Linked DNA regions of Alligator mississippiensis. The main gene of each other region encodes a partner of the protein of the gene in region 3 in a complex. Links are inferred from orthologs where the notes say so. Each region holds a gene or a part of one and is shown on either strand. Other genes may lie near its edges. The genes, in order: GRB14, RASGRP4, HRAS and SOS1.

The links.
Region 1: the proteins of HRAS (region 3) and GRB14 are in contact, whole or in part, in a crystal structure (PDB 4K81), measured with the Homo sapiens proteins. The link is inferred for Alligator mississippiensis from reciprocal best matches to the Homo sapiens genes HRAS and GRB14. Residues at the interface, in NP_001123914.1 of Homo sapiens: Glu31, Asp33, Pro34, Ile36, Glu37, Asp38, Ser39, Tyr40, Arg41, Tyr64, Met67; in NP_004481.2 of Homo sapiens: Val109, Lys111, Asp116, Glu117, Thr118, Ser119, Arg120, Ala121, Leu122, Asp123, Lys140, His142.
Region 2: the proteins of HRAS (region 3) and RASGRP4 are in contact, whole or in part, in a crystal structure (PDB 6AXG), measured with the Homo sapiens proteins. The link is inferred for Alligator mississippiensis from reciprocal best matches to the Homo sapiens genes HRAS and RASGRP4. Residues at the interface, in NP_001123914.1 of Homo sapiens: Glu3, Gly12, Gly13, Gly15, Ser17, Ala18, Ile21, Asp33, Pro34, Thr35, Ile36, Glu37, Tyr40, Arg41, Asp54, Leu56, Asp57, Ala59, Gly60, Gln61, Glu63, Tyr64, Ser65, Ala66, Met67, Arg68, Asp69, Gln70, Arg73, Thr74; in NP_733749.1 of Homo sapiens: Tyr228, Gly232, Val234, Val244, Asn248, Ser251, Asn288, Met291, Ala292, Gly295, Gly296, Cys298, His299, Ser300, Leu327, Ala328, Ser329, His330, Asn331, Asn332, Tyr333, Ala334, Arg337, Leu351, Gly352, Val353, Leu355, Lys356, Val359, Ser360.
Region 4: the proteins of HRAS (region 3) and SOS1 are in contact, whole or in part, in a crystal structure (PDB 4NYM), measured with the Homo sapiens proteins. The link is inferred for Alligator mississippiensis from reciprocal best matches to the Homo sapiens genes HRAS and SOS1. Residues at the interface, in NP_001123914.1 of Homo sapiens: Gly13, Gly15, Ser17, Ala18, Thr20, Ile21, Gln25, Asp30, Glu31, Tyr32, Asp33, Pro34, Thr35, Glu37, Tyr40, Arg41, Asp54, Ile55, Leu56, Asp57, Thr58, Ala59, Gly60, Gln61, Glu63, Tyr64, Ser65, Ala66, Met67, Arg68; in NP_005624.2 of Homo sapiens: Glu589, Lys602, Trp809, Thr810, Lys814, Leu822, Met824, Ile825, Arg826, Thr828, Thr829, Thr832, Glu836, Asn869, Leu872, Val875, Ser876, Asn879, Ser880, Ser881, Tyr884, Ser908, Asp910, His911, Tyr912, Lys913, Leu916, Phe929, Phe930, Gly931.

Annotation. Positions count from the first base shown.
Region 1 is NC_081827.1:217,685,976-217,693,153, reverse strand, and holds the start of GRB14 (growth factor receptor-bound protein 14), read right to left. Parts: upstream 3,003-7,178; 5' UTR 2,988-3,002; coding exon 2,887-2,987; intron 609-2,886; coding exon 476-608; intron 1-475. UniProt on the Homo sapiens protein: Adapter protein which modulates coupling of cell surface receptor kinases with specific signaling pathways. Binds to, and suppresses signals from, the activated insulin receptor (INSR). Potent inhibitor of insulin-stimulated MAPK3 phosphorylation.
Region 2 is NC_081838.1:1,909,865-1,917,463, forward strand, and holds the start of RASGRP4 (RAS guanyl-releasing protein 4), read right to left. Parts: upstream 3,005-7,599; 5' UTR 2,821-3,004; coding exon 2,798-2,820; intron 2,127-2,797; coding exon 1,933-2,126; intron 1,793-1,932; coding exon 1,687-1,792; intron 1,534-1,686; coding exon 1,471-1,533; intron 1,399-1,470; coding exon 1,267-1,398; intron 1,133-1,266; coding exon 979-1,132; intron 457-978; coding exon 283-456; intron 1-282. Other genes in the region: GEM-interacting protein, read left to right, coding at 4,248-4,517, 4,707-4,744, 4,944-5,040, 5,194-5,447, 5,563-5,702, 5,801-5,893, 6,122-6,188, 6,258-6,310 and 3 more.
Region 3 is NC_081825.1:182,638,510-182,646,412, forward strand, and holds the start of HRAS (GTPase HRas), read right to left. Parts: upstream 3,015-7,903; 5' UTR 2,705-3,014; intron 1-2,704. UniProt on the Homo sapiens protein: Involved in the activation of Ras protein signal transduction. Ras proteins bind GDP/GTP and possess intrinsic GTPase activity.
Region 4 is NC_081824.1:236,140,079-236,147,389, forward strand, and holds the start of SOS1 (son of sevenless homolog 1), read left to right. Parts: upstream 1-4,311; 5' UTR 4,312-4,574; coding exon 4,575-4,661; intron 4,662-7,311.

The DNA.
Region 1 (7,178 bases), on a different chromosome or scaffold from region 3:
AAACAGAAGAGAGTGAAAATTTCATCCTGATTGATTTTAGAGTTGAGACATCTTCTCTACTGGAACAAGTTTAAAGAGCTACATGGGAGTTTACAGCCAGACCCTCAATGCAAAGGCCATTTTCCAGGCCTCACTTACAATCGTAGAACATTTTCCAGTAAGACTCATGCTGCCCCTGAGAGGTTTAATGACTCAACAGCATCCACAGAAGTTAATGCTACTGGAAATTACTTCAACTTTCACAGAGTTCCTCACTCAATCTCCAGATTTTAATCCAGAAACAGTATTACAGACATTAAAGAGCACCCAGATTTAGTCTCTCTGTGTCTGTCTCACACTCAGTAGACCCCCCCCAGAGCACCAGAGAAGTATATGTGAAGCTCCATCCCTCTCCCAGGCACACACAATTTATGTAAACCTTGAGAAAAATAGAAGTGTTTGTAGATCCAAGTGCCTTATCAAAAATAAATCTTACCTGTTTTTTTCTTGAAGTTGCCTTGGGCAACAGGCTGGCTGACAAAACTGAAGCAAATGGAGAACAACATAGCTCAGGAAATGGATTTGGAATTGATGGGATTTCCAGCACATCAAGTTGGCTCTTTTTTCTCCTACATCAATAAAGAACATAAAGCAATAAATAAGTAGAGCAGGGACCACAATGTAATTGCTACCAGAATTAAAACTGAAATAAGCAATCACCATCTATTAAATACAGCGACATTATTATGTTTAGTGCCTCAGTCATCAGTTATATTTGTTAGCTCCTTGCCAGCAGACTGCATGTGGTTTTACATATGTGCTTAATACTGAGCATGAAGTAATCCCAGCACTTCCTCTTGAGTGTAAAATTACGTTTGCATGTAAATCTTTGCAGGATAAGTGTATGAATCTATTTGCACTGGCTTCTGGAATTAGCAAGTATTTTCAGGAACACCAGTGGAACTTCAGTCTTACAAACACACCCATTACTACAAGTCTGTTTCAATTTGCCTACTTGCTGCAGTAAACCAAGCTGGTGGGTAAGTTATTTTGCAGGGTAATGGCCAAAGTGATTGGAATATCACACAGGAAGACATTTCTTTCTGCCTCTCAATGCTTTTGCATTCCTGCCTTATTAAATACAGCAACTAATAGGAGATGCTAAGCGCTACTTAAATCTAATTCTCTTGCTGCCATGATTATTGCCAAGCACTATCTACAAACTTCATCAATTTCAATATCATTTTGCAAAATTTTTTGCCTTAGAATGGTTTTAGAACTCTCTTTTTAAGCAACCAAATGCAAAGCTTTTAGAATGCTGTAAGCAACATTGAGATATTTTCTCACATGTAAAATAAAATGAGGATCTAATGTACAACTTCCATCACAGGCAACAGAAACTGAAACAGCATAAATACTGGTTTGATTTTGCTAGTACCCAGTTCCACTCCCCCTCCCCCACTTTGTGCAAGTTGATATTCTGAGCTTAATATTTAACTTCACTTCCAATATTACTCTAGGTTTCACTTGCTGATTGGTACGATACAAGTCTTACAGACCATCAAAATAAACTGAATGATGCAAAAGACCACTGCTTGTGTTTCTGAATGCATTTAGAGAGCAATCATTTGATAGCAAGTGTAGTTTTTAGAAGGAAGGGAAAAATACTGTGTTCACAATATTCTAAGGTGTTCCAGATTTCAGCCTAGTGAAACTATCAGAAACTTCATAAGAAGCTAAGTAGGTGAGCTAGACTTTTAATCCCCACTGAATTGAATTCCATTGGAGACACGGTACAAATCTGGCTGAGAGCAATCAGTTATAACAGCCATGGCTTTAATATTCACTGTCCTGGGCAAATCAAGCCCTTATCTTCCAAGCCTGGGATGAAGAAGCTAGCCTTGGGAGATAGCACCAGTTCATGTCACCTCAGGGGTGTGTAAAAAAGCTCAGGAAGCATGTCGGGGAAGTGCTTTAACCCAAGGTGCTTTACAAAATGCACCATTTGTTAGAGTACCATTGAACCCAACAAGCATTTGCCTGTTGGTGCACTGGTCCAAGCCTGCAGGTAGAGGTGCTCCAGGCTGCTGGACTGCCCCTCTCCCCAACCCCACACCCCACCACCAGCTAGTAATGGTCAGCAGTGGCTGGGAGGGTGGAGGGAGTTGGCCTCCTTCAACTACCCTTGCTGGGGTCCTGGGATGAGCTGGGTCAAGCCAGCAAGGCAGGGGGGCCTTGCCCCCCCTCCCTGAGTATTTGGAAAGTGCCAGCTTCATGGCAGCTATGCCTGGAGCTGGAGCAGGGCAGGAGGGAGCCACCCCACCATGTCCCAGCCTGGCAACCCCTGCTCGGCTGGGCCCGTGTAGTTGGGGGCTCCATTCCCAGCCCCTGTGTGAGCATCTTGATAGCAGCAGAAACTGCTGTGCCCAGAGCTGTGGCAGGGGGGGAAACAGAGTCCCCGCCCTCCACCACATGGGCCTCGCAGCACCCCGCTAACAGGACCCTAGCAGGGGTGGCCAGACCAGGCTCATGAGGCAGGAGGGCTCTCCTTCGCCCCCTACCCCACACAAGGGAGCCCGCCTGACACTACCTCGGACGAGGGTGACATCTGTGCGCGGCCGGCCACGCTCTGCCGCCAGCAGCGAGCGCCTTCGGGAGGGGGGGGCTCCACACCCAACCACCTCACACCCACGAGGCAGCGCAGTGCCAGCTCGGGGGCAGGGCGGGCAGCCTGTCGCGGGGCGGCCGCCCCCAGCCCGGCTCCTGTGGCCCACGGCCCTTTCCAGACTTCCAGGTAGGGGAAGCCAAGGGGGCGCGCTCTGCAGCACGTGGCCCTTCCCGGCACGGGACAGCCCAGCCCCGAGCCCGGGCCGGCCCCCGGCACTGCCCCTCCGGCCCCAGCCTTACCCGTCTGGCCGTGGCGCCGCCGGGGAGCGGGTCCGGGCGGGCGCCGTCCACGGGGCAGCCCCGGCCGCGCCGCGCCGCCCCTCCGGCAGCGGAGCCGCCATCCCCGCGCCGGCCGCGGGCGCGAGCAGCCCCAGGAGCACGTGCCTCGGAGCTGCGCTCGGCGCCGGCGCCGCCCGGCGGGAGCAGCGGCCGGAGCGGAGCGCGGAGCCCCGGCGCGGCCGCTCTGCTCTCGGGTGCGGGGGATGCGCCCCGGGGCTCCTGCAGCCAGCACCTCCGGCTCCCGGGACAGCGCTGACAGGCTGTGCTCGCTTGGCGGCTCCTTATCGCCTCCTGCTAATCTCTCTCCCCCACCAGTGTTAAGCCTCTCTCTCCTTTTCCGTGGGCTCGAGTCCCGCTCTTCGACCCCTCCTTTCTTCTGCAAGTTTGCAGGGTGGTGGCCACCCCTCGCAGCGGCTCTCTCCCGTCTCCCCGCCCTGCGTTCAGGTCTAGCCGCAAACCTTCCCTCCCGTGCGGCAGCGTGAGCCGAGGGGTAGAAATGCTTGACAGCGAAGGCACTGCCAAGTCTCTCAAGAAGGCTGGATTTTGTTTTATGAATCTGAAAAAGTGACGTGCATTTGCCTCCAATGACTACAGGGTTCAAGCAACACTACCTGTTGACTAATTTTGCATGGTTTGTCATGCTTTTGCTCAATTGTATATACAATTAGCAAAGGAATGCACACTCCAGTAGTGATATTTGTTTTTGCTTTGGTCTTAAACAGATTCATTAAGGGTGCTAACAAAAGTGACATTTGTCCAGTCATTGGCCCCCTAAAAGTGCTCTACAGCCCTGCCATGACAGACGTCCACATGCCCCATCACGTCACAAATTAACCCTTATAACAAGGGATCAGATGAAGGTGCTCCAAAGCTGAGCAGGTGACTTTCTGATCTAGCCCTGCCCCACCAGGTGCTCTCTGGAAGAAAGGAGGAAGGATCCTGGAGGGGAATGCACTCAGAGCTGGGGTTTGCGTAGCCCCAGCTGGAAGGGAGGGTGGATTGGCTGAGTGGCCTCCAAAGTAGAGCTTGATTCCCCGCAACCTCCCCCTACCAAACAGTGAATGCCTGTTGCGGGGGTTGGGGTCTAAGTCATGACACCTGCTGTGAAGCACCATGAGTTAGAGCAGGAGCTGCACATGTGTCAGCACCTAAAGTACTTGACCCCTAGCATATTAGTAAAGTATCTTGTTTCTCTCCAAGTGGAGTAACTGGAGAACGATATGTGTTGTGTTATGCGACGATGTGCCACATCACCTGCCCCCCACTTTTCAAAATCCTAGATCCACCCATGAAATGATTCTTTCCAGGGGAGGCTTCAAGCTTTCCTCTGACAGCTGTTTATCCTGCCAGTTCTTCACTCTGACATTTCTTCTTTGACTTACTTTTTCTTTGCTTTTCTGACCAAGTGGTGTTTACTGACCCAGAAGCCATAAGCTGCCTCCCTCTGGGCAGCTGGCCATGGGGCTCAGGTGTTAGGTCAGAGGAGCAGTCACTTCTACTCTCCTTGTGACTTTAGGCACTTCCCCACTCCATACCCCAGATTTTTCTTGAAGGAGAATAAAGCTATTGCTATTGGCCTATCTTGGTCATTGTGTTTGTTTAAACTCTTCAAGGTTGGTTCTTACCTACAGCCCTGGCAGCAGCCCCTCAAGCAAAACAAGATGCTAACCCCAGCTTGGGTTTGTAGAGGATGCAGAGAAATGCAGGAGGGAACTGCAAATACCAGCTGAGCACCTGCTTGCATATCCCATTGTTCATCACTAGCAAGTTGCATCTAAGAGAGCATAAAACCTAATAGTCCTTTCACTAAGTTGTGGCCATGTTCTAGGACTTTGAAAGCAAACCTAATTGTGACTCCACTCAAAATTCAAAGTGAAAAAACTGTAATTACCCAGCTGTTCTTGATATGCACTCAGCCTAGTGTATAGTAACCCCCCTGAAACTTTTCTCTGTTCACTGCAGTTAACTGCATTGAACTGAACTGGTAAACTGCTTCTGAATATAACTGTGTCAAATGATTAGGGCCAAGCCCAAGCCAGAGGAATGTAGTACACTTCTAAGAATATTTGAAAAACTTTAGAAAGTGAGTGGTTTTTTAAATTGTTATTGAAGAAACCTGTTTCAGAACAGATGTTGTTTTAAGGCTCCAGAACTAGCTTCAGAGGCCAACATTTCAGTTATCAGTATGAAGAAATAGTCTTAAGTAGGAGAAACACCAGAAGTTTTTATTCTGGCTGACTTACAAATGATTTTGCAGAACATTTCTTTTTAATGAAACTAGGAATTCTTTGTCCTCTCAATAGTTCCTTCTCTGTTACTGTGGCAGCTGAAGAATCCAAGCTGATTAAGAATTCTTATACACAGAGATTGGCAAATGTTTTCAAAATTTCAGTCTAAAGACTGATTATAATTGCTGTTTGGTTCAATAGCAAAAGTACTGGTTGTTTACAAACAAAGGGAACTTGCTATTTGTTGAAACAGGTACATTGCAATAAACTTCACCCTAATTAAAACAGAGAAGTGGCCATTACTAATATAAGAGGAAACTAGGACCTAGAACAGATACGAATCTTGAAATAGCACAGTTTGATGTCAAAGCCAAACTGTGAAAAGGTGGTAGCTTCTAATTTTTCAAAAGATCTGTATACTTTTTAATGGAGCACTTTATGCTACTAAATTAATATTATGTCTCTGGTTTTATAGAATCATAGAAAGTCGGGGTTAGAAGTGACCTCAGGAGGTCATCTAGTCCAACCTCCTGCTCAAAGCAGGACCATCCCCAACTAGATCATTCCAGCCAAAGCTTTGTCTAACTGGGTTTTGAAAACCCCCAAGGACAGAGCTTCCACCACCTCTCTGGGTAACCTATTCCAGTGTTTTACTACCCTCCTAGAGATAAAATTATTTCTAAAGTTACCTAAACTTCCCTTGCTGCAACTTAAGACCATTGCTCCTTTTTTTGTCATCTGCCACCACTGAGAAGAGCGTAGCTCTGTCCTCTTTCAAACCCCTCTTCAAGTAGTTGAAGGCTGGTATTAAGTCTCATCTCAGTCTCCTCTTCTCTAGACTAAATAAGTCCAGTTCCCCAAGTCTTTACTCATAAGTCATATCCCCCAGACCCCTCACCATTTTTGTCACCCTCCACTGGACTCTCTCCAATTTGTCTACATCCCTTCTATAGTGGGGGGCCCAACACTGGACACAATACTGCAGATGTGGCCTCACCAGTGCTGAATAGAGGGGAATAATCACTTTTCTTGACCTAGTGGCAACACTCCTACCAATACAGCCCAGTATGCTGTTAGCCTTCTTGGCAATTAGGACATGTTGCTGGCTCATATTCAGCTTATTGTCCACTGTAACCCCCAGGTCCTTTTCTGCAGAGCTGCTGCCCAGCCGCCAGCCTATACCAGTGCATGGGATTGTTCCATCCTAAGTGCAGGACTCTGCACTTGTTCTTGTCGAACCTCATGACATTTCTTTTGGCCCAATCCTCCGATTTGTCTCGGTCACTCTAAAACCTACCCTCCAGCGTATCTACTAATCCCCCCAGCTTGGTGTCATCTGCAGACTTGCTGAGGGTGCACTTTATGCCGTCTTCCAGGTCATTGATGAAGACATTGAACAAAACTGGCTCCAGGACCAACCCCTGCAGCACTCCCCTTGATACTGGCTCCCAGCTAGACATCAAGCCATTGATTCCTACTCTCTGAGCCCAATGCTCCAGCCAGTTTTCTATCCACCTCACAGTCCATATATCCAGCCCATATTTCCTTAGCTTGCCCCCAAGAATGCTGTGGGAGAACATACCAAAAGGCTTGTTAAAATCAAGGTATACCACATCCACAGGTCTCCCTGCATCCACAGAGCCAGTCACCTTGTCATAGAAGGCAATCAGGTTGGTCAGGCATGACTTACCCTTGGTGAATCCATGTTGACTGTTTCCAATCACCATTTTTGCCTTCAAGTGCTTTGAAATGGATTCCTTGAGGATCTGCTCCATGATTTTTCCAGGGACTGAGGTGAGGCTGACTCGTCTGTAGTTCCCTGGGTCATCCTTTTTCCCTTTCTTAGATATGGTTTTCTGTATGGTAGTTTCATTAGTTAGGCCATTTACATTATTTGTCTAGATTTTATTAAAACAGCTTCCAGCAAATAATTAATTCATTGAAAATATGTTAAATACAGTATTTCTTAGCATTCCAAACCTCTTTGGAATGCAATTGATTCACAGCAGAAAAAACAGCAGCTGT
Region 2 (7,599 bases), on a different chromosome or scaffold from region 3:
CATGTGCAAACATACCCTTACACACCCATATACATGCGCATGCACCTCTGCGTTACTCACATGTGCAGGGTGTCCAGGGCACGTGTCCATGTGCATGCAACCACACCCTTACACACCCATGTACATGCACATTCTTCTGTACAAACACACCCTTACACACACGCATCTCTGTGGCCACCCACGCATGTGCGCTTCCTAGGCCCCCCCTTCCTGTACTCATGTGTGTGAAAACCACCCCCTGTGTACGCACGCCTGCTTCCAACTGTGCCCCCCCCCAGGTACCTGTGCAACATGGATGAACTGGGCGAGCACGCGCGCACGCTGGGGGGCCGTGGGCCGGCTCAGCACCATCACCTGCACCCACTGCGACACGCTGTTGCACAGGGCGACCGCACGCTCCAGCGCCGGGGCCCCCCGCACCGACCCCTGCAGCACGTAGCACCGGCAGTCCCGGGGCTGGGGGGGCACGGGGGGTCAGAGCTGCCCCATGGCCTGGGGGGGTGGGGGTAGGGGGTCCTAGGGAATCCCAGGAGATGGGGATATGTCTAATGGGATCCCAGGGGGCAGAGCTATGTCCTCGGGAAGGTCCTGGGGGGCCCTAAACCCTGGGGCATGAGTGACTGGTGCCTCCTGAATCGGGGGGGGGGGGGGGGCACCTGCAATAGCTGCTGATGGCAGTGGCCCTGTTAGGGGGGCACCAGCCCTGCCGACAGCATCAGTGTTGGGGTCGGGGGGGGGCACGTACACCCCCATGCAATCCCTACCAGTCCCCTCTGTCCTGGGGAATCCCATGGGGAGGAGCCATGTCTGGGGGGGAATCCCAGGGGCAGGGCTAAGTCCTGGAGGGGGTCCCAGGGGGTGGAGGGGAATCCCAGGGGGAGGAGCTCTATCCCGGGGAATCCCAGGGGGGTGGGGCTATGCCCTGGGGGTCCCAGGGGCGGGGCCATGTCTTGGGGGGTCCCCGGCTGGGGGTCTCACTGAGATGCGGGCGAAGGCGCGGAAGTCGAGGTACGCAAGGTGCTCGGCCAGCTCCGCCGCGTCCAGGTGGTCGAAGAGCAGCGACACCTTCCGTTTGGGCCCGGGCGCCGGGCTGCCCCGGGCCCCCGGCCCGCGGCCCCCTCCCGCCGTCGGCCTGCGGGGGTCAGGGGTCACGCGCGGGCCCGGCTGCCCTCATGCACACCCCCCATGCATGCTCAGCCTCATGCACACACCTTGGCACACCCATTGCACCCGCCTTGGGCCCCAGGGCCTGGGGGGGGGGCTCACCTGGGGGCCTCGTCCAGCAGCTGGGCATGGCCCCGGCGCCCCTCCTGCACCGCGGCCTGGCGCAGCTCCTCCACCGCCTGCTCCAGCTGCGGCTCCAGGCAGAAGGCCTCGGGCTGCTGCGCCATCCAGTACCTGGGGCAGGGGGGCCATGAGCACCCTGGGGGGGTCCCGGGGCGGGTAAGGGGGGCACTGGGGGGGGCTCACCGCAGCAGGTGGCAGATTTGCAAGCGCCGCTGTTCCTGACGCTCCCCCGATGTCTCCCGGTAGGTGCATCCGAGTCAAGGCTCCATCACAGCCTAGACCCCTCTCCCAGACCCCCCCCCCACCGAGGTAGGGGCTGCAGGGCAGGAGTGAGGGGCGCTGGGGGGGCAGGGGGCTGCAGGGCGGGAGTGAGGGGCTCCGGGGCGGCTCCAAGGATATAAGGCCAGGAGGCAGCGGGCGAGGTCGGCCGAGGGCACCACCCAGTCGTGCACCGTGAGCGTCATGTTCACCAGGTACTCGTTGTGGCACAGCGTCCCGTCCAGGTCTGGGCAGGGCAGGGCAGGAAAGGGTTAAGAGGCTCCCCCTCCTCCCTCGCGGCCCCCCAGGGACTGTTAGCGGGGTGTCGGGGTGGCGCTGCTGTAGCTGACCGGGGCAGGGGCAGGGGGCGGGGTGGGCGTCCAGTACCGAAGGCGTCGAGACACTTGTCCAGCAGCTGGGCGAGGCTGCAGGCGGGGCCGAGCTCGCCCAGGGCCAGGCTGGCCACGGCCGTGTGGATCTCCCGCGGCGTCGGGCAGGTCATGCGGCGCCGGCACGGGCGCTGCCGGACCCTCCCGGGGCCGGGGCTGGACACGAGGCCGGCGCATTCTACCGAGGGCTTCCTGGAGGAGCCACGTGTGGGGGGCGGGGGTCACCGCTTGCTTCCAGCCCTGCAGCCCCCCAGGACCCCCCGCAGCCCTCACACCCCTTCCTGAGCTGCAGAGCATCTGGGCTCCCCCCAGGCCTCTTCCCGGCAGCCCGTTGCAACACGGCCCGGCAGCCCGTGGAGGCCACTTCCCCTTCCCCGGCCCCGTTGCCCAACTGCTTCGGCCACCGGGCCTCCCAGCCTGCAGGGATGGGACCCAGGCGTCCGGGACCCCGGCCCTGCCCCCGTCCTATCCCCCACTGCCCCCAGGCGTCCAGGACCCCGGCCCCGACACGGCTCTGCCCCCCCAGGCCCTGGGGAGATACCCCAGGCGTCCGGCACCCCCCAGGCCCCACTGCCTCCGGGGATGGGACCCAGACGTCCGGCACCCTACAGCCTCCGGAGAACGATCCCAGTGTCTGGGACCCCGACCCTGCCCCCCACGAGACCACCCTACCCCCGTCCAGAGGCAGGAGGGAAGCCAGGTGTCCGGGGCAGGACGCAGGTGTTTGGGAGCTCAGGGGGAGGTTCAGATCCCCCTCCCTGCGCCCGCCCCGCCGTTCTAGCACGCCGTGCCCGCTCCTCCCCAGAGCTGGTCGCATCGGCTGCGGCATCGTCTCTGGGAGGGAGAGTCCCCCCCCCACTCACCTTTTGCTCTCCTTCCTGTTCATGGTGCGGGGCTGGGGGGGGTCTCTAGCACCCCCGGCGGGCCCCCCCGGCCCCGGGCCCAGCTGTGGCACGGCGGCCCCACGCAACGGGCGGCGCCGGGGCCCAGCAAGGAGGAACTGTGATGTCAGGGCCGCGCCGGGGCGGGGGCCGCGGGGGTGCCCGGCCCCGGGAGCACCCGGGCTCCCACCACGGGTCTGGCCGCCCCCCGGCCGGAGCCCTGGCACCCGGCTGGAGCTGCCCCCTGGGCACGGCGCCCCCTGTTGGATGCCCCCCCCCCACGCTCCAGCCCCCTCCCTGGGCCAGGGCTCGCTCCGGCCGGGCTGGGCAGAGGCCGTGCATGCAGTGGGGGGGAGGAAGGAAGGAAGAGGCAAGAAATGCTGTGGTCTGCGGAGAGCGTCTCCCGGAGACGGGTGCTGCAGGAGGCTGCGCGGGGGGCGGGGAGGGCCTGGCGGGGTGGGGGGGTAGGTAGAGGGGGTGCTGGGGTGGATCCCTGGGGCTTCCCGATGGCCTCCTCCTGCCATAAGGCCTGTTGTGGCTTGGCACCAGCTTGGGCTATGGATGCTACCCCCCAGCTCTAACCACTAGGCTGCAGGGGCTGCACCCCGGGATGCTGCCAGTGGGACCCTTCTCCAGCAGGTGCGATGGGAATGGGGAGCCTCGCAGGCCACACGGCCTGAGACCCTGCGGGGCTGCCGGGGGTGGGACACGGGACCCCTGCAGTCCCCCCCAGCAAAGCCCAGGCCCCAGTGCAGGGAGGGAGGGATGCACGGGGGATGGTGGGGTTGGACGGGTGGGACGAGGGGCAGGACAGCGGGATGGACGGGGGTGGGGGAGGCGGGGGCGCCTGCTCCAGGCCAAGGCCCCTGGGCTGGTTCCCCCCCCCCGCCCCCCCAGCTCTGCTCAGCACGGGGGTGGGGGGTTGCTGAAGTCCTGGGGACCCCCGGGTGCAGCTGAGCACTCGGTGGGGGGGACAAGACGGGCACTGCTGAGGGGTCCAGTCCCAGGTGCCAGGCATTGCATGTGCTCTTGCACACACCCCTTGTTCTGCAGGGGGAAGTGCACGTGTGTGTGTGTGTGTGTGTGTGTGTGTGTACCCCGGACACCTGGGTTCTGTGTGCCCTCCCCCCCACACACACACAGTACCCTCAGGTGGGGGCTGCAAACACTGCCTTGGGTTGGAGCTAATTGGGGCAGGGCAATTAGCAGGGTCAATTAGCAACTGCATCCTCTCACCTGCCCCAGTGCCCTGGAGCAGATAAATAGAGCAGGGGGTGTGCGCGTTCCCCTCCTGCCCCCACCCCAGCTGTTGGGACATGCTCTGTGTGAGTTTGCGTGCGAGACCCAGATGCCTGGGGTGCGTGCGTGTGTGAACGTGCATGCACGCACGCATGAGTCCCGGATGCTTGCGGGGGGAGGGGGTGTGTCCTAGATGTCTGGGTTCTCTGGGTGTGTGTGTGCACACGTGTGTCGGATGCCTGAGTTGTGCGGCTGTGGTGGGGTGCCTGGGTGTGCCCCGGACACCTGGGTTTTGTGGCCGTGGGCGTCTCCCGGACCCCTGGTTCCCTGGGACCGTGTCGCAGGGGGGTTGCACCTTGCAGCTGAGTCTGGGGCAGCCCTGGGGGACTTGGCTGGGGCGGGGCTCCCCCAACCTGAGCCCCCCATCTCTTCCCTGCCCAGAGCGGCTGCAACGTCCGGCTGGGTGAGCGGGGGTGAGGGGTGGATGCCCGGGTCCCAGCTCTAGGAAGGGAGCAGGGCTCAGTGGTTATCATGGGGGCAGGGGGTGGGCAGGATGCCTGGGTCCCACGGCTCCAGGAGGGGAGTGAGGCCTGGTGGCTACAGCAGGAGGAGCCCTGGGTTCCCCTTCCTGCTCACCGCCCTCCTCTCCCAGGAGCCCGGTGCCGCCTCGGACACCCTGGATCTGCCTCGGTGAGTGGGGGGGGCTCCTGGATGGACCCCTGGGGATGGGGGATGTCTGGCCCTGCCCCCTTCTGGCAGCTCCTCCTCCTGCTGTGGCTCCGCCCTCTGGGAGCATGGTTGCAGGCTGCCTGCAGACTCAGGCGTACCCCGGGGGGAGGGGGTGAAGGGGGGGCTGCACTAGCGCCCCCCGGTGGCTGCCCCCCCACAGGTTCCTAGTGGAGGCCTGTGAGGCCCTGCAGCCGCACCTGGGCACCCCGGGGCTCTTCCGCACCGCCGGCTCAGTGGCCAGGATCAGGGCCTTAAAGGTACAGGTGCCTCTGGGGCGTGGGCAGGTGGGCCTGGGGATGAGGCCTCGGCCCCTCCTGGGGGTGGGGGAGCCCGGACCCCTGGGGTCTCGGGGGGCGGGGGGGAGTTGGGGTGCTGGTGCAGGGACCGGACACCTGGGTTCTTGCCCGCAGGCCCGGGTGGCGGGGGGCGAGCCCTGCCTGGGGCTGGCGGCACCCTGCGACGTGGCCGCGCTGCTGAAGCGGTTCCTGCGGGAGCTGCCGGAGCCCCTGGTGCCGCCGGCGCTGCAGGAGCCCCTGTGCCAGGCCCAGCGAGAGCCGGACCCCGACCGTGCCCCCCTCACCCTGCTGCTCACCGGCCTCCTGCCCCCCGCCCACGCCTGCGCCCTGCGCTACCTCTGCTGCTTCCTGCGCCGCGTGGCTGCCAGGTGCGTGGGGGCCCCTCGCTCCCCGCTGCAGCCCCCTGCCCCGTGTCCTGCGGTGCCCCACGCTCCCCACCGCAGCCCGGGGATGGGGGGGCTCAGCTCTCCTCTGCCCCCCCAGGTGTGATGAGAACAAGATGGATGCCGCCAACCTGGCAGTGATTTTCGCCCCCACCCTGTTCCCGGGGCCGAGCTGGGGGCTCCGGCTGCAGCTGCAGGCAGCCGCGGTGCAGACCCTCATCCAGGAGGCCCCCAGCATCGGTGGGTGCAGTGGGGGGCAGTGATGCAGCTGCCTCTGGGGTGGGACATGGGGCTGGTGGGGGGGGGGGTTCAGGCTCTGACACCCCCGTCTCCTCCAGGCTGCGCCCCCCAGGCCCTCCTGGACGAACTCCTGGCCCCAGAGCTCGGCGATGCATCGGTGGCGGAGACGACCCCAAGGCCTCGCTGCGACGGTGAGGGGAGTGTTGAACCAGAGCCCCCCCCACTCACTATTGAACCCCACTGCCCTCCTGGAGCTGGGAACAACCCCCCGCTTCCATCCTGAGCTGGGGGGAGAGCCCCGGCATCTGGGGAGCCCCCCCAGCCCTCTCCTATGCCTCTTGCATGGGGTGCTGGGCTGCTCCTGGCTGGGGGGGTGCTTTTTGGGGTGCACCTGAAACATGGCCCTGCTGTCCCCCCAGGTGGCCCTGCCCCGGCGCTGCCCCCCAAGAGGAAGGCATGGGGGGCACCCCCCGGCTGTGGGAAGTGGTAGGTACCCTCTGGGGTGTGGGAGGGGGCTGGGCGGTTGCAAAACCCATCAGCTTCTCCCCCTTGCAGGTGGCCGGCAGCTGACGAGGCTGGAGACCCCTTCGAAGAGCCCCTGGGGGCAGGTATGGGCCAGGAGGGGGTGGTTCCCATTTGAGGATGGACCCCCTCAGACTAAGCCGGACCTTGCTTCCTCCCCAGAGCCAGCGCCAGAACCGAGGAGTCTGGCCTGGGGTCCCAGGCAGGAGGCCCCCAACGGGATGTATCAGGTGAATGAGGAGACTCCCCCTGGCTGTTGTGATGGGGCCTATGACATGTGATGGGGCAGGGTGGGTGGGTGGAACCCAGGTGTCTGGGTGTAGCTTTAAAGGGGCAGCACCAGCCCCAGAGCTGGCCCTGACCCTATTTCCACCCCCCAGCTCCCTGCCAGTGATAATAGTCTTCCTAATATCCAACCTCAACTTTCCTTGCTGCAGCCTGCGCCCATTGCTCCTTGGGACACCTGGGTCCCAGAGCCCAGCAGCTGGAGCCAGATGAAGAGGATGGTGGCCGAAGCCCTGTGCCCCCCCTGTGGTACGACACCACCCCATGTCCCAACCCAGAGCGGAGCACAGCTGCGTGCCCGGCCTGGCTGACGGGGGGTGTCTATTGCAGGGCCGAGCGGAGACCTCCCACCTGAAGACCGGGCCGCCCTCCTGCACCGGCGGCTGCGGCGCTCCCTGAGCTGGCCAGAGGACTCGAGGTGCCCCGTGGCCCCCCCTCTCCCCTCCCCATCCCAGGTGCCCGAGGTGGGCCCGTGCCCCAGTGGCTGCCTGTGCAGCTCCTGGCGCGGCCGGCGCTCCTGCAGCCATGAGCGGCCCCAGGGGGCCGGGGCCAGGCCCCGCTGTGTGCGGGGGGTCCTCCGGGCCTGTGGGCGCCTCCTGGCCTGGCGCCGGGGTCGCAAGCCCTGGGCCCCCCCCAGCTGGACAGGCATGCGGGGGGCTGTGCCTGTGACGATGCAGGGGTCATGTATGTTCCCGGTGTGACCGGCGGTGGGGGGGATCCAGCTCCCTTGAGTTTTAGCTTGATGTGTCCAGTGGTGCTAATAAACTCTGGGGTTTCCACCCCAAAAGTTGCTTTTAACTCCTTCCTTGCCTGTGCCCCAGCTCCACCCCTGCAGTCTTGGATCTGTACCCCCTCCCCTGGGGAGAGGGGCATGATCCTGGCCAAGGAGGGTGGGGGTTCTTGCAGGTCCTTCATGGAGGAGCTATTGGGTTGGGGGAGAGTGGGGGGCTTCTAGCACCTGCCCTTGGGTGGGGGCTGTGTGGGGAGGGGGTCAGGCCTAGTGCCCTCCTGTCCTGCCCTAGGCCCTTGGCTGGGTGCTTGGTAGCCCTGAGCAGCCAGGGCTGGGTGTGATGCTGCAGCCTGCTTGTGC
Region 3 (7,903 bases):
GGCACCGGTGCTGCAGTACTGAAGTTTGTCTAATAGTAATGACACAGGGGATACCTTCTAGGAACAGGAAGGATGGTCCAATGCACAGAGCACTAGCTTAGGACCTGTAGGACCTGGATTCAAGTCCTTGCCCTTCTACAGCCCTGTTACATGCCCCTGGGCAAGCCATGTAGCCTTTCTGCACTCATTAGAGTGCAGTGTAATGTTGAGCTATCTGACCTAGCTGTCTCTGTCACCAAAACCAGTAAATCTGTATTTGCAGAGAGCCCCTTTTTCAGCAGGGTTAGGTACAGAGCTCTGTTTGGGGTAATCAGCTGGCTTTGCTGCTTCTAGTACCAGAGCTAGCTTAGGTATCTCTGCACTGCAGACACACCCTACGTCTGAGCCACACACACACGCTCACACACACTCTTGTAAAGTAAGGAGAATAGGAGCGTTGTGAGGATAAGTATATTAAAGACTGTGAGGTGCTATGGTAATAGCAGCCAGGGAGTTACCCAAGGTACACGGCCTGACCACTGAAGGGGAATAAATAGGCATCACACTGGCTATTCATTAATACCATGGACTAGCCTGAAACTGCCAGTCTCACAGTCTGGTTGCACCAATGTCCATATTGTTTATAGAGCTGTAATGCATTTACACAAGGGGATTAAAGCAATGCAACACCACCAACTAAACCCTCAGGGTAACCTTATCCCAATTCTTGAAGCTGACTAGCATCTCTCTCAAGTATGAAATTCCATTGTTAATTTTGGATCTATAGGTTGGGCTTTTCAAAGGTGCCTACTATTCCTCTGACAGCTATTTAGTGAAATCAGTGCAGGCACTGCATTGATGTGTTTTGGTTATGTCAGTTATGCCTACACTTGTAAGATTCACCAGCACAAGCTGAGCCAATATGAGCCTGGCTTAAACCCCTGTAAACTGAGCCTACTCAGGAGCAAATAAATCTGTAACTTAGCTTAACTAGGGTAACCCAGCAAACCAACCAGACTGAAAAGAGCCGGGTGTCTAATCCACTTAGGCTACTTTAAAAATCTTAACCATCTCCCCAGTATGTCTCCCTGTGATGTATACTTTTAGCTATACAGAGCATTTCATTACCCGCAGAGTGCTTGCTAATCCTCCCGCAAGTCTTCCATTTGGCTTATTTTTTATGCACGCCGTACCCATCCCCCTCACAGACCGCTAGCAGGGGAGAAAAACGCATTTCTATCCAGGGCTATTAGGAGCAGTGGGCCCTACAAAGAGCATGCCTCACTCTGGGGTCTAAGGGGGGATGAAGAACTCCCCTGGCATCATTCCCAAGTGCCTCTGTGCTGGGAATAGCTCTAAAGGGAGCTGCATCTGCCTCTCCCCAACCAGGGGGCAGGCATGACATAATGCTAGAGACTAGAAAGCCAGACACACCCAGGAAGCAGGGAGGTTCTTAGAGACCCCAAAACACGAACTGGTAGTGCCGCCTGCTTAAAACAAAAAAACAAAAACAAAGAGACACAAACCCACACAGCCACACCTGTCTCTGTTTCAAGCCCTCCTGCAAAGCGCAGTGGAATCGTCTGGGCTGCAAACAAAACCGCTCTGGAGAAGTTTATTATCAATCATGACAGCGCTCGTTCCATGGCACACCCTGACGGAGCTGTGGCAGCCCAGGCTCAGCAAAGAGAGATGCCTGCTTGGCTATCACCATGGACCACTCCCTAAGCTGCAGTATCATGTGGGTATTTCAACCCATGGATGAAAGCCAGAGGAGAGGCTGGACAAGGGGAAGGGGTGGGGAACAGACAAGGGAAGGGTCACTGCAGGCTGTGGTTTGCTCCTGGAGGATGCAGTGCCCCTCCCATTCCTTTCCCCATGTTCCCTGGACTGGCAGGAAGTGTTTACAGAAAGCAGAGTCATTGTTAAGACCGAGGGGGCAGGCAAGCAGGTGATTCTCCACCCCTCCTTCCCTCTCCCCTCTCCAAAGTCTGCCAGATTTTAGGCAGGAAAGAGCAGAAGTCATCAGCATCTGCCGGAGATCCTATCACTGCTGCACAAGGTGTGCAGAGACCTGGGGCTCCCTCCGCAGCTGCAAGAGGCTGGGATGGGGCAGCTGGGACACAAGCCAGCCAGGATCCATGCCACCGCCAAATGACCTCAGCACACACACAGGTCCAGGCATGCCACACAGTGCACTCCTCCCACGTGCACCTCCACGGAAAGTCTCCATGGGGGTCATCTGGAGGGATGAGACACATACCCCCCCCCCCCAAGCGATCAGTCTGCAGGGGGCCTGGTTTCACTCAACAGGAGGGTCTGGAAAAAACCGGGGGGGGGGGGGGAACTAATTTGCAGTATGCTCTTAGACTGGGGGGGCTGCAGCTTCCCTGCCCCAATGCACACACATGTACACACACCCCACACACGCACACCGGCTCACCTCTCACACACCCCACACGCGCACCTGCTCACCCCACACCCATGCACACACGCACTCACCCCCACACATGCACACCCTTCACCCACATGCTCACCACACACCCCACATGCACTCACAACAGGTGGCAGGGGCACCCCCACCCCCAGCCCTTCCAGCCAGGGGGCTCTCCCAGCGCTTCCCACGCACGACCTGCCCCCAGCCCCGGGCTCCCCCGGCACAGGGGGTGGGGGCGAGGCTGAGCCAGGCGCCGCCCGGGGCTGCGGACGCCGACCCCCGACTCACCGACTCCGGCGGGCGGGCGCGGGCCGGAGAGGAGGGAGACGCGGCCGAAGTTGACGGGAGGCGGCGGCGGCGGCGGCTGCAGCGATCCCCCGGCCGGCCCGGCCCGGCCCAGGCGGGGCGGCGCCCGCAGCGCAGCTCAGCGCAGCGCTGGGGTCAGCGGCCCGCGGCCCCGGGGCAGGGCGGCGCTGCCCACCTCGGGGGCGGAGGGGCCGCCTGCCTACAGCGCCCGCCCCGCATTGGCTCCCGCGCCGGGCTGCCCTGCCGCTGCCGCCGCTGGCACAGCGCGCGCGCGCGCGCGTGTGTGTGTGTGTGTGTGCGGGTGCGCGGGCAGGCACACAACAGTGACAACACACACCCGGCGGCAGCGCGCACACACACTCCCGCCGCCCCGGCCCCGCCCCGGCGCCCTCGTGCTGCATCGCCAGCCCGCGCTCAGCGCCGCCCCCTGCGCCTGCCCGCCCGGTCCTGGGTGTGCGCGCGCGTGTCTACGCGTGTGTGTACTGGGGTTGGGGGCGCGAATTGTGCACCTGCTTGTGTTGGGGGTGGTGCTTGTGTGCGGGTGCATGTATTGAGGTTTGTACACCTGTGTGCGTTGGTGCACACGTGTATGCTGGTGTGTGTCCATCTGCATGTATTGGGGTTGGTGTGTGAGGGGGTGCATAGATGTGGACCTGCATGCATTGGGAGGTGTGGGGTGCCTATATGTGCACCTGCTTGTGTTGAGGCTGGTGCTTGTATGTGTCAGTGTGCGTGCACATGTCTACCTGCATGTTTTGGGGTTGATGTGTGTGTGGGTGCATATGTGTGTATCTGCGTATGTGCGTACCTGTGTGTATTGGGGTTGGGGGGTGTGGGGGTGCGTATGTGTGCACCTGCTTGTGTTGGGGTTGGTGCTTGTGTGTGTGTGTACCTGCATGTGTTGGGGTTGGTGTGTATGTGGGTGCCTGTGTATGTTGGGGTTGGTGCACATGTTTCTGCTGGTGTGTGTGTCTACCTGCATGTATTGGGTTGGGGTGTGTGTGGATGCATGTATGTGTATGTGTATCTGCATGTACTGGGGTTGGAGGATGTGGGGGTACGTATGTGTGCACCTGCTTGTGTTGGGGTTGGTGCTTGTGTGTGTCTACCTGCATGTATTGGGGTTGGTGTGCGTGTGGGGGGGGTGCACCTGCATGTGTTGGGGTTGGTGTGTATGTGTGCCTGTGTGTGTTGGGGCTGGTGCACAAGTGTGTGCCAGTGTGTGTCTACCTGCATGTATTGGGGTTGAGGTGTATGTGGGTTCATATGTGTGTACCTGTGTTTGTGTGTGTCTTTGTATGTGTGTCTACCTGTGTGTATTGGGGTTTCTGTGGGGTAGATGCATATGTGTGTACCTATGTGTACTGGGATTGGGAGGGGTGGGGGTGCGTATGTGTGCACCTGCTTGTGTTGGGGTTGGTGCTTGTATGTGTGAGGGTGTGTGTACTTGCATGTGTTAAGGTTAGTGTGTATGTCAGTGCCTCTGTGTGTATTGGGGGTGGTGTTATGTTGGTGCCTGTGTGTGTTGGAGTTGGTGCACACGTGTGTGCTGGTATGTGTCTGCCTGCATGTATTCAGGTTGGTGTGGGGGTGGTGCATCTGTGTGTACCTGCGTGTGTTGGGGTTGTTTCACATGCGTGTGCGGTGTCTGTGTATGTATTAATGTATGTGTGCATGCACCTGCTTGTGTTGGGGTTGATGTGTGTGGGGATACATATATGTGTGTGTGCACACCTGCATGTTCTAGGGTTGGTGCTTGTGTATGTGCATGTACCTGCGTATCTTGAGGTTGGTGTGTGTACATGTATATGTGTGCATCCCTGCTTGTGTTGGGTGGGGTTGGTGTGTGTGGGGGTACGGTACATGTGTGTGTGTGTGTGTGTGTGCGCGCGCGCCTGCATTTGTTGGAATTGGTGTATGCATGTGTCCGTGTGTGTGTGTGTACTTGCATGTGTTTGGGGGAGTGTATGTATCTGTGCATGCACCTGTGTGTGTTGGAATTGGTGCATTTGTGTGTGTGTGCGCATACCTGTGTGTCTGGGGGAATGTGCATGGGGGGTTGGGATGTGTATGCATGTGTTGGGTTTGGTGAGTGCATGTTGGAATCGGTGCATGTGTGTGTGTTGGTGCATGTGTGTGTTTGTTTTGGGGTAATTGTGTTTGTGTACACACTTGTGTTGGAGTAGGGGTGTGTGTGGGTGTTGGGCTTGGTGCACGCATGCGCATGTTGGGCCTGGTGTGTGTGCATGTCTTGGGGTTGATGTGTGTGTGCATCTGCATGTACACATTTGTTGGGCTTGGTACACGTGTGTGCACTGGGCTCTAGTCGCTGAAGTCCTGCTTCCCTTTCCTTGGGCACGTGTTTCCTCCCCTGGACCAGCAGTCTTCTCAGAGGCAAAATGAGAGCCATTGGGGCCTGGACCCACCCCACGGCCTAGGCTCCTCTCCCCCTGACCTGCACCCCGCCCTGCAGCCACGGGCTCCATCCTCGAGCAGCACCCAGAGTGAGATGCGCTGCAGAGCCACGGCCACCCCTGCCTGCAGGTCCACGCTGGAGCTGGAGCCTGGGGTCAGTTGCATGAGACCCCGCATATGACAACATTGCCCCGCCACTAGGCAGCACTGGGAGTACAGAGCCACTGCCTCCTGGGCACATGCAGTGCGGACTGAACTCTGGGGGTGGCCACTCGACCTGCCATAGCTCAGTCTAGCTGGAGCAGCATCCAGCAAACACCCAGGATTGCAGCTGGCCAAGCCAGGACCTGGCTGGACTGGGGCTGCCCCGCCACTGGCAGGTCCCAGCCACGCACTGCACTCAGCTGCACTCCCTGCCACGGGCAGCTCCAGCCACTCCCAGGTCTCCTGCACGGTCGTGCCCCACACCCCACCCAGTACCTGGCAGCCTTGGCCCGCTGTGTTGCACGCCCGGCCCAGCCCAGCCAATGGTTTTGTCCATGCCAAGCTGCCGCCTCTCTCCCCCCACCCCCAGGCATCTAGGGGTCCTTGTCTGGCAGGGAGCCCTGGGCCTGGGCCCAGCTGGCCCATGCATTAATCCACCTATGGTCTTCCTCCAGGCACCTCCTTCTCTCTGCTTTTGGCATTCCTACAAGGCAGGGCTCCCCTCTGGCCAACTCTTCCCCCCATGTACCCTGTGTGTGCATGTGTGTGTGTGTCCATCCTTCCTCTCTCTGTGTCTCTTCCTCCTGCCCCTCTTTGGGATGAGCTATTGTGTCCCACTCAGAAAAACCCACTGAACTGGAGGAGACCTTTCCCTTACAGCAGGGTGAGGCAAGCTTGTGTGCTGAGGCTTGCTCCCAGCATTCCCATCCAGGGGAAAGCAGGGAGAAACAGATGAGTTGCCTTCAGCACAAGCTCCCTCCCTGTCTTATGCCTGTGTTACAGACACCTTGAAATATAAATCCCTCCTTACCCCCAACTCCAAGAGTATAACATGTTTTGAATCAAACAGGGAGGAAAGAGCTCTAATTAACCCCTTCATGCCTGCTGCATTGTGTGTGGCAGCTGCTGTTCAGTCATGCTTGCCCTTCCAAAGCACATTTAATCGGCCTGTGCCACAACAATGCTGTGATAATGTATGCTACTTAATCCTTGGAGTGGCCCTGTGAACTATGAAAATACTGGTATCCCCACTTCCCATACATCCCACAAGTCAGAAGCAGAACCAGAGCCTGTCTACTTGTGCACTGTTACTTAGGGTCAGCACTACAGGTCACCATTACCTACCTCAAGTGACATTAGGCAGCCCTTTCTGTTGATGTTACTTTGGTACAGCTGCACAAACACACACACACAGAGATCATTAGCAGGCAGACTGGTTCCTAGAGAGGCTCAAGCCCTTCTTGGAATCAAGTCAGGCCACTACCTGTTTCTTCCTGTACCCAGTTTAAATTATGGGCAGTGGAAACAAAGAGAGTAGAAAAGTGCCACCAGATGCTGGGTGAATAATGAACACGCTACACTGCAGGGGAAGAGCAGGCTAGAGGAAAACTAGACTTTGGGCAAATTCAAGGAGGGTTTCTAATGTGAATGGTCAGCTGGTTTGGGCTAGAAGGCAGATCTGGGAGTGGCTCTAGGTAGCAGCACAGATACACCCCGAGTCTACATCTTCTGAAGCAGGTTTTGGTGCCACTTCCACTGGGGGAGGCCAGTTTTCAACCTGTGATTTGCCTGCAGTTGTCTCAAAGGGTTTAAACCTCTACTCCATTCACTTTTCTCTGGTGACAAGGATTTTCAGTCACTTGCAAGCAGTTCTCCTTTCAGCCCTGGTATGGGTAGAGGAATGTTCATTGCTGCCCTATAGTGACTTGTTTCTATCAATCAGTTGTGAGATCTGCCCTGGAGAATACCTCTAACAGCTGCCTCTGTACGCCTGGCATGCTAAGGAACCTACTACAAGCTTCTGAAGATAATGTTGCTGTACGGAAAAGGCTCACACAGTCTGTACACACTGAGTAATGAAACATGGCTCAATGTAACATATATGCCACCAATCCTGGAGAAGTGCTGCTCAGATCAACCTGGTAGGTCTTTCAAGCATTATTTTGAAGATTTGTTTATTCTTTGTGTTGCAAGAGTGCTTACCAGTCATGAATAGGGATCAGGCTTCAATGAACTAGGTTGCTACTTCTGGGTGTCATAAAAAGAGAGTTCCTGCCACAAATAGCTGATAGTCTGAGCACTGAAAGTATTGCACAACCTGTTCTTTGGTTGTAATTTTACAAAATCATGCAGTTTTAGCAGCACAGCTCTCTTGCATGCGTGCATGTGCATGGGTGCACATACACACACATGTACAGACTCTCTCTCTCTCTAGGCACCAAGAAACCTTCCAGAGGACTTTCAAGATTGGCCTTTAAAGGCCAGCCCTAAAAGGACAGTGTCATCATTAAATAGGCTCAAATGTAACCTATCTTCAGAAATGTTTGTTAGATGTTTTAGAGTCAGGACAGCAGTTGAAAAGCAATGAGCTTGCCACAAAATGAGGGCTGCGACTCAGAGAGAAATATCAACTCTGCCAAGCGAGCTGAAAACATCAGCAATGCAAAGGTACCGGGTTTCTCACAGGCACATGCATGCACAGCACGCCGCCTCTCTGCAGTGCCTGTCTTATCTTGTCTTATCCATTCCTACCGAGCAGGCAGGGTACTGAAGTGTACAGGA
Region 4 (7,311 bases), on a different chromosome or scaffold from region 3:
AATAACTCAATTGGTTAGAGTGTGGTGCTAAAAATGCCAAGGTCACAGTTTTGGTCTCTGTATAGGACACAAGACTTGTCCTGACTCAGGCAGGAAGTTGACCTAGATGACCTCTTGAGGTCCTTCCAGCCCTACTTCTCTATGATATCTATGATAAGGTGCCTCAAACACCCTTTCATTAGGGGTTTGAAAGAACTAGCTGGCTCAGAGAGATACCTCTTAAGGCAGCCTGCCTCTCCTGAAAGCCTCTTCAGCAGGACTCACTAATGCAGCCTTTCCCTCCTTTCTCCATATACTGTTTCCTGCTGGTTTCTGGAGGAAGCTATTTTGCTCAAGCTGATTCTGACTCAGGCCAATTAACTTATTGCATCCTAGCACTCCTCCTGAACTTAGCATTTGTGTCGTCTTAGCATCTGTAGATCAGTACCTCTGCCAGGTGTTATACCCCATTTCAGGATTGCAAGTCCTGATATTTCATAGCCAGTGGTGACATTTATGGGCTGGAGCAGATAAAAATATCTGCAAAAACTACAGTCAGATATTGAAGGCGAGTTTACAAGGTTTGAAATGGACCCTTTTAAATTTTTTTAAGTAGGGATTGGAATTGAAAATGTTGTCGAAGTCCTGATTTAAATGTTACATTTGCCACCAACTGGGTGTTGGATCAGTGAAAAACAAATAATGGCTTTCATAACATTTTTGGTAAAAATATTAAAATTTAAGATTGAAAACACTGCAAAAATTTAGCAAATTAAAAAGTCAACGTTATTATTATGTATTTTTGGGAGGGAGCCGGGTGAAGAAGCTGAAAGTCATGTTTTGACTAAACATGTTCTTGCTTGAAACCAGGTGGCCCACTGAAAACTACTTGCCACTGCCAGTGCTTGGTGACGGACATGTTTCCTGGCAGCCTGTATATGGTAATGGCAACTGGTATCAGTCAGAGATGAATGAAGCTGTGCTGTCCTTTTGAGGCAGGTTCTAGGTCCAGCACTACCTGGATGCTGCTTTTAGTCTACAAATAAGTGTTTACTTATTTGTAAGGGACTACAAATAAGTAGGGCAAGGGAACAGTAGGACTTGTAGCCGGGATGATGGGGGTCAGGGAGGCCCCAGTGATTTTGAGGGATTATCAAAGGAGGTGCTTTACAGTAGAACCCAGACACTTCACAGGATCACATCCCTAACCTCACTGCATAGAGGATGGTTCAGAGCTAGAGCAAAAAGTTTCATGGGCCTGCTGATGTGCTCCAGCTGTGTAGAGAAGTGGTGCCCCTTGAGTAAAAGCAGCAGCAATCAGCTGAATGGCGTATCCTTTATTGGACAACCCACTGCTGTGTAAGCAAGTTGTAAACCGCCTGGATATGAATGGTCCAGGTTCTACTGTATTACCACTGGAAAAAGAAGGGGGCCAACAAAGAGCCCTGAGAGGTGTTTGCCACAGAGAGAATGGCTTTGAGAAAATATTTACCTCTATTTGGATTTCTGCTCACTGGGATTTTCATCTGGACTTGGGCTTTTGCTGCTGTTAAAATATTAGGAGCTTTGAGTCATAACATGCTACAAAATAATAATTGGTGGGTTTTTCCTCTTTGCCTGTTGGGGTCACTTGCATCATATTCTTAGCTTTCCTCAGGCATCTTGAGGTTTAGAAACTTGCAAGAATGAAAAATGAGATTCCTCATCATTCAATTCCCACAGGTGGAGCTTTAAGAAAAATGACCAAGTGTTGTGAGACACATGGGGCATGTCTACACATGGCTGTACAGAAATGTTGTTACGTTTCCATGCTTTAGTACTTCCTTTTGGAAGTACTAAAGCATGGTGCAGTAACTGCCTGCACTGCGCCATGTGTGCAACTCACACATTTTGCTGCTACATCCACATAATGGCAATCTAAAACAGGGGAGTGCACCGCTACAGCAATGTAGCTACCAATCACATGTAGACCCACATGATTGCTACCTTGTGGTAGCGTGCTGTATGGTGACATTTTTGCCCATGGTGCAATTTTAAGGTTTGGTAACAGCATGTCAGCTTCTCAACTGGTGACAATTCCTGGTGGGCAATGATGCTTGACAACTCTTGTCCACTGAAGACAGCAGGTAGTAGGTGGTCAACTTGTGCATCCTTGTTACTTGCTTGCACGTAGTGACAGATAAAGGACATTTTCACCCACTGCCTGCCATTTGAGGAGGGACATTTTGTGCCCAAAAGCCTATCTAATCTCTCTCCCAACTCTAGAGATGGTTTAAGAATAGACATCACCATACAAATCTTCCTTCTGCCATTCAATAAGCCTACAAGAAAATGGTGAATACTTGGTGAAACATTGTGGTGTGGAGGCCTTTGACACTTGTGTACAGCATGGTAGCAGAAAACTTAGCCTGGTTGAAGCGGCAATAACGTTGCCCACCCACTCCCACATTACAGGCATCAACTCAGAAACAAAGTGGTGCCCTAAGTGGCTCTTCTTGAGCATGCTGAAAATCTAGGTCTTGAGCATGGCACTGGGGTATCTGAGGTTGTCCTCAGCAACTCCATGCTAGGGTAATGCAGATGGAGTGGGTGGGTGAGACCAATCATTCTCCTGCTGCAGGGTAGATGTGCCCCAGGAGAAGGTGGAAGGCTGTCAGTTACCTGTGAGGCACTGCCATGGCTGGTGATGGTGGGTGGAAGCATGTCACAGTCAGGCACTGATAATTTGGGAGCCACTGGTGGGTGGTGACAGGAACTGTTTCCTAGCAACAGGTACCAGGGGAAGGCTGGTGGCTAGGGCCAGTGACATGAATCTCACTATTACCACCAGTCCTCAACATCTTTGCCCTCACAGTGGGAAATGGGGAAAGGCTGTTACCCCATTGTGCACATCAGACTGGGCGATTTTTCACCAGTGGACCTCCATGCCCTTCAAGGCAGCGTAGCAGCACCATGCCCATGGGACAGATAGGTAAAGGGAGAGACAGGATAGATGAGGCTCAGGACAGTGAACCTGCTGGCTCAAGATCACCCACTGTCCTCAGCCCTAGTTTGGCCTGACATCCCAGGAGAAGAGTGGGCCCACCCTGTGTGCTTGCTGGCCAGCTGCTTCAGGAGGGCTAGCCCCCTGTCTGGGGACATGGCCTGTGCTGAGGTGGACTCCCAGGCTCCCTGCCCTGGGCTGCTGCCCCTGCAGCTGGGAGCTGCTGTGCGTGGGCTTAGTGCTGGGCCCGTGAGAATGAGTGCTGTCAGCATTGCCAGGTCTTAACCATGAAATTATAGTATTGGAAGCTCAAAATTATTGTATTTGCTGAAAAACTACTGAAGACTGAAAAGATAACTGTGCAAATAAATCTTTTTCTTATTTACTTTACATTGCTCGCTAGAAACCAGCAGTGAGTGAGAGAGAACTGGGTCATCCAAGTGGAAGCATTTCTTTATTTTGAGGCAAACCATCATAAGAAAGCACTGACAGCAAACCAAAGTCAGCTGACTCCCTGAAAGTGATGTGGTTTTTGCATAAGCTGCATCAATGAGCTGTCTCAAAAACTTTTCTACACTTTGAACATGTTTAGCATTGGTGCTTTCAGGGGTGTAGGTTGTAGCCCTGTTGGTCTAAGGCAGGGGCAGGCAATTTGGGCAGAGGGGTGCTTACTGAGTTTTGGCAAGTCATTGAGGGCCGCATGACAGGCAGATAAATATTAATTTTTAAAAACATTTTAGGGGACCTGCAGGCGGGACAGAATGGGCTGGCAGGCCATATTTTGCCCACCCGTGGTCTAAGGGCATAGGTAGACAAGGTTCATTATTGCTTAGGCATTATTAATCAATCAATGTATTACTACCATCAATCAATTAAATATCATTAATCTTATTAATCAATGTATTCATATTGTTAACCAATTAATATTAATCGTATTATTACTGTCAGTCAAATTATTAATATTATTAATCAAATCATTCATTAATAATTAATTAATAATTAGTCATTATTGGTCAGGCATCGAACGAAGGCGGAAGCTATGGTACAAGCGCGGTAGCCAATACACTGCGCGCTGTGCAGGGCGGGGAGGGCAGGCCTCGCGCCAGCGCCCGCCACGGCTGTCCCTGTGGGCTCCTCCCTGCCGCAGGGGGCGCTGCGGAGCCCCCTCCGCCGATCGCCCAGCGAGGCGTTCGGCGCTCGGCTGAGCTGGCCTGGCCACTCGCTTCCCTTTGACGTCCGCATCTGACCTGGCGGCTGTTGGGCGCACAGGCACGGCGCATGCGCCCTGGGGGAGGGAGGGGGTTCAGTGTCGCCCTGCCGCGCATGCGCCCTGCGGAGTAACCGTCCGGGCACGGGAAGAGCCCCCGGAGCTGCAGCCGTGCTCGGGTCCCGGCACAAGCCCCGCCCCCCGCGCCGGTCCCGCGCCCCGCGCTGCGCCCCCGGGCCGGGCCCGGCCATGCCAGCGCGGCCGGCGGGGTAGGGCGGCGGGTGCTGAGGCCAGGCCGGGGCCGCGGGGGGATGCCGCCGCCGCCGCCCGGCGCCCAGAGCGGCCGCCGCCGGGAGCCGCTGGCCCCGCGCTGAGCCCGCCCCGCCCCCCCGGCCCGGCGGCAGGATGCAGGTGCCGCCGCTGTTCCACGAGCTGTGCAGCGAGGACAGCGCGCCCAAGTGGCGGGGGCTGCTCGTGCCCGCGCTCAAGAAGGTGAGCGGCGACCGGGGTCTTCGGGCCGCACTCCCCATGGCGGGGCGGGCTCCACAGGTGCGGGGCAGGGCCCCGTGTGTGTGTGTGTGTGTGCGCGGGGCGTGTTGTGTGTGGCGCACAAGCACAGAGAGACACGTGCACAGACACCCGCCCCCCGCCCACCCCAGCGTCTCGGAGGAGCTGCCAGGGACCCGTGGCAGAGCCCCAGGCTTGCACACAGCGTGGTTTGCGAAACACTGGTGGCTAAGGTACAAGCCTGTCCTGCAGAAGCTTCTGCTTCAGTGAGAGGTGCCTGCCCACAAACTCTGGTTTCATTTGGCCTCTTTTTAGAGCGGCGGTTCCCAGCCCCGGGTTGCGACCCAAATTAGTGTCGCGGGGGCAATGCCGGCAGCGCTGCACACAAAACATGAGCCGCGCCGCATGTCAGGAGCTCCCCCAGGCTGCTAACGCCGCAGTCTGCTCCCAGCAGCGGGTTGCAGATAAAAAAGGTTGGGCACCACTGTTTTAGAGCTTTGTTTTGCGAAGAAACCTGAATCGAGGGCAGGAGAGTAAGTCTCACTTGCTCCTGATACTGGCATTGGTGTGGGGGAAATGGGTCAGGGCTGCTCACTTCTGACTTCTGCCTGTAGCAAATAAGAACGAGGCTTTCCAGAAACTGTTTTCTGAAGTGGTTTTATATCCAACACTTAATCAACACCTTGCACTCAACATGTAGCAGCCATTGATGCTGGTATACTGATTGTACCAGTGGATGCAAACTTCCTTAATGTGGCTGAACTGGGGGCACTCCACAGCATGGACTGGGTATCCCAAGTATTTCAACTGCATTGATTCAGCTCACCTTCCCAATTTTCTCTTGCAATGCATTGTTTCATGTTTCACAGCATGTTCATCCAAGGACTCTGTGCGTTTGTATCAAGGAGCAGGTCTTTCCTGACCCCAGCACTTGCTGGTACAGTAAGTGATCATTACCTGTTTCTGAGAAAAAAATAACTTTTGGGTTAACTACCCAAATCCCTGAGGCTTTCAATGCCTTGGGATGCTCAAGCATCAAGGTAACTGAAGCCTGCTTGTGAGTTGCAGGCCAGTTGCAGCTTGCGGATTTGGCTCACTGTTCTGTGCTGTGCTCAGGGTTTGCTGTGCTGGGAACTCAACACAGGGCTAAGTAGTCTGGGAATAGAACAGGTTTTGATTAGAGGTGCACCAGTATATCGGTCCATGTTGTATCAGCACCAACAAAAGGAAAATTGACATTAATGGCAATCGACTTTCTTTGTGTGATGTGGTCAATAATGTCTCCGATAAATGGCGCATGCATGGGCACAGCAGTAGCATGCACACGGCCAGCCTGACAGCTTGGAGAGTAGTGTCTGGCTGGTAAGTCTGTTGGGGGGTGGGGAAGAGGTATGCGGGGGAGCTTATCAAGGCCCCCACAGCGAGGGAGGGTGTGGGGCTGGGGCAGGGGCAGCATGCACCCCAGGGAAAGGCACGGGGGGCACGTGCCCCACAGATGTGTGTGTGGGGCGAGGGCGGGCTGCCTGCTGCGGTCTGGGGTTGAGCCAGGCTCTTCCCAGCGGTGGGGTTGGGCTGGAGTTGCACTTGGGGTGGGGGGTGGTGCTGAAATGGGGGGGCTACAGGGTGGACTGCAGGCCACCCCAAAATTTGCTGCAGCCCCTCCTCCCAGGGCTGCCACCACCATTTGTCCCAAGCGCAGCCCCAACCCAGCACCCCTGCTAGGAAGAGCCTGGAGCTTCCTCCAGCCCACAGCAGCAGCCCACTATCACCACGCGCACAGATCCAGGGGGCACACACTCCCATGCCTCCTTCGGGCACGTGTGCTGTGGCATGAGCAGCCCGGCCCCTGCCACACCCGCCCCTGCCATACCCTCCAGATGAGCCGCGCACAGCTCTGTCCTGTGCCTTGTCCTGGCTGGACAGCCCCTGCCCAGCCCCATTCCCACTCCCTCCCCCACTGCAGGGGTCCTCAATATGTCCCCCATACCCCTTCCCACCAACAGACTTACTAGTCATATGCTGCTGTCCAAGCTGCTGGGTTGCATATCGGCAGTCGCATCCGTATCAGCTGATGTGGCTCGTTAATAATTAGCCATTGGTATTGACCCAAAAAATCTTTATCGGAGCACCCCTAGTTTTGATAGTATGAACCAGAATAAAACTGCTCTTTGAAATTGCATACATCAATTGCAGAATCTGTGAAGTTGTTAATTTCTGTCCTGGTGGGCAAGTCACTTAAGGCATCTTTATACCTGCTCTGGGGGTTGGTGTGGAGGGAGAGGGCTTTAATTGAAGCACCCACCGTGTCTCATGTATTCAGCGCAGGTGCTTCAAAATGGTGGTGGGGGTGGTGCTTTAAGTAAAGCTTGTTTGATGAGCTTTAGTTAAAGTACCGCCGCCACTATTTTGAAGTGCAGGGGTGCCGAATACATGAGATGCCGAGGCTGCTGGAGCGTGGTAATTAGCATGCTCCAGCAGACTCCATTAATCGAGTTTGCTCTGACGTGCTGTAATTGCAGCGTGTCAGAGCAGGCGTCCTGCACATCTACAAGCACCCTTAGTGAGCTGACTCGGAATGTCACTGCTCGCTGAAGAACTTGATGAAAATGGGCATGTTCAGGACCAAGAGAAGAGT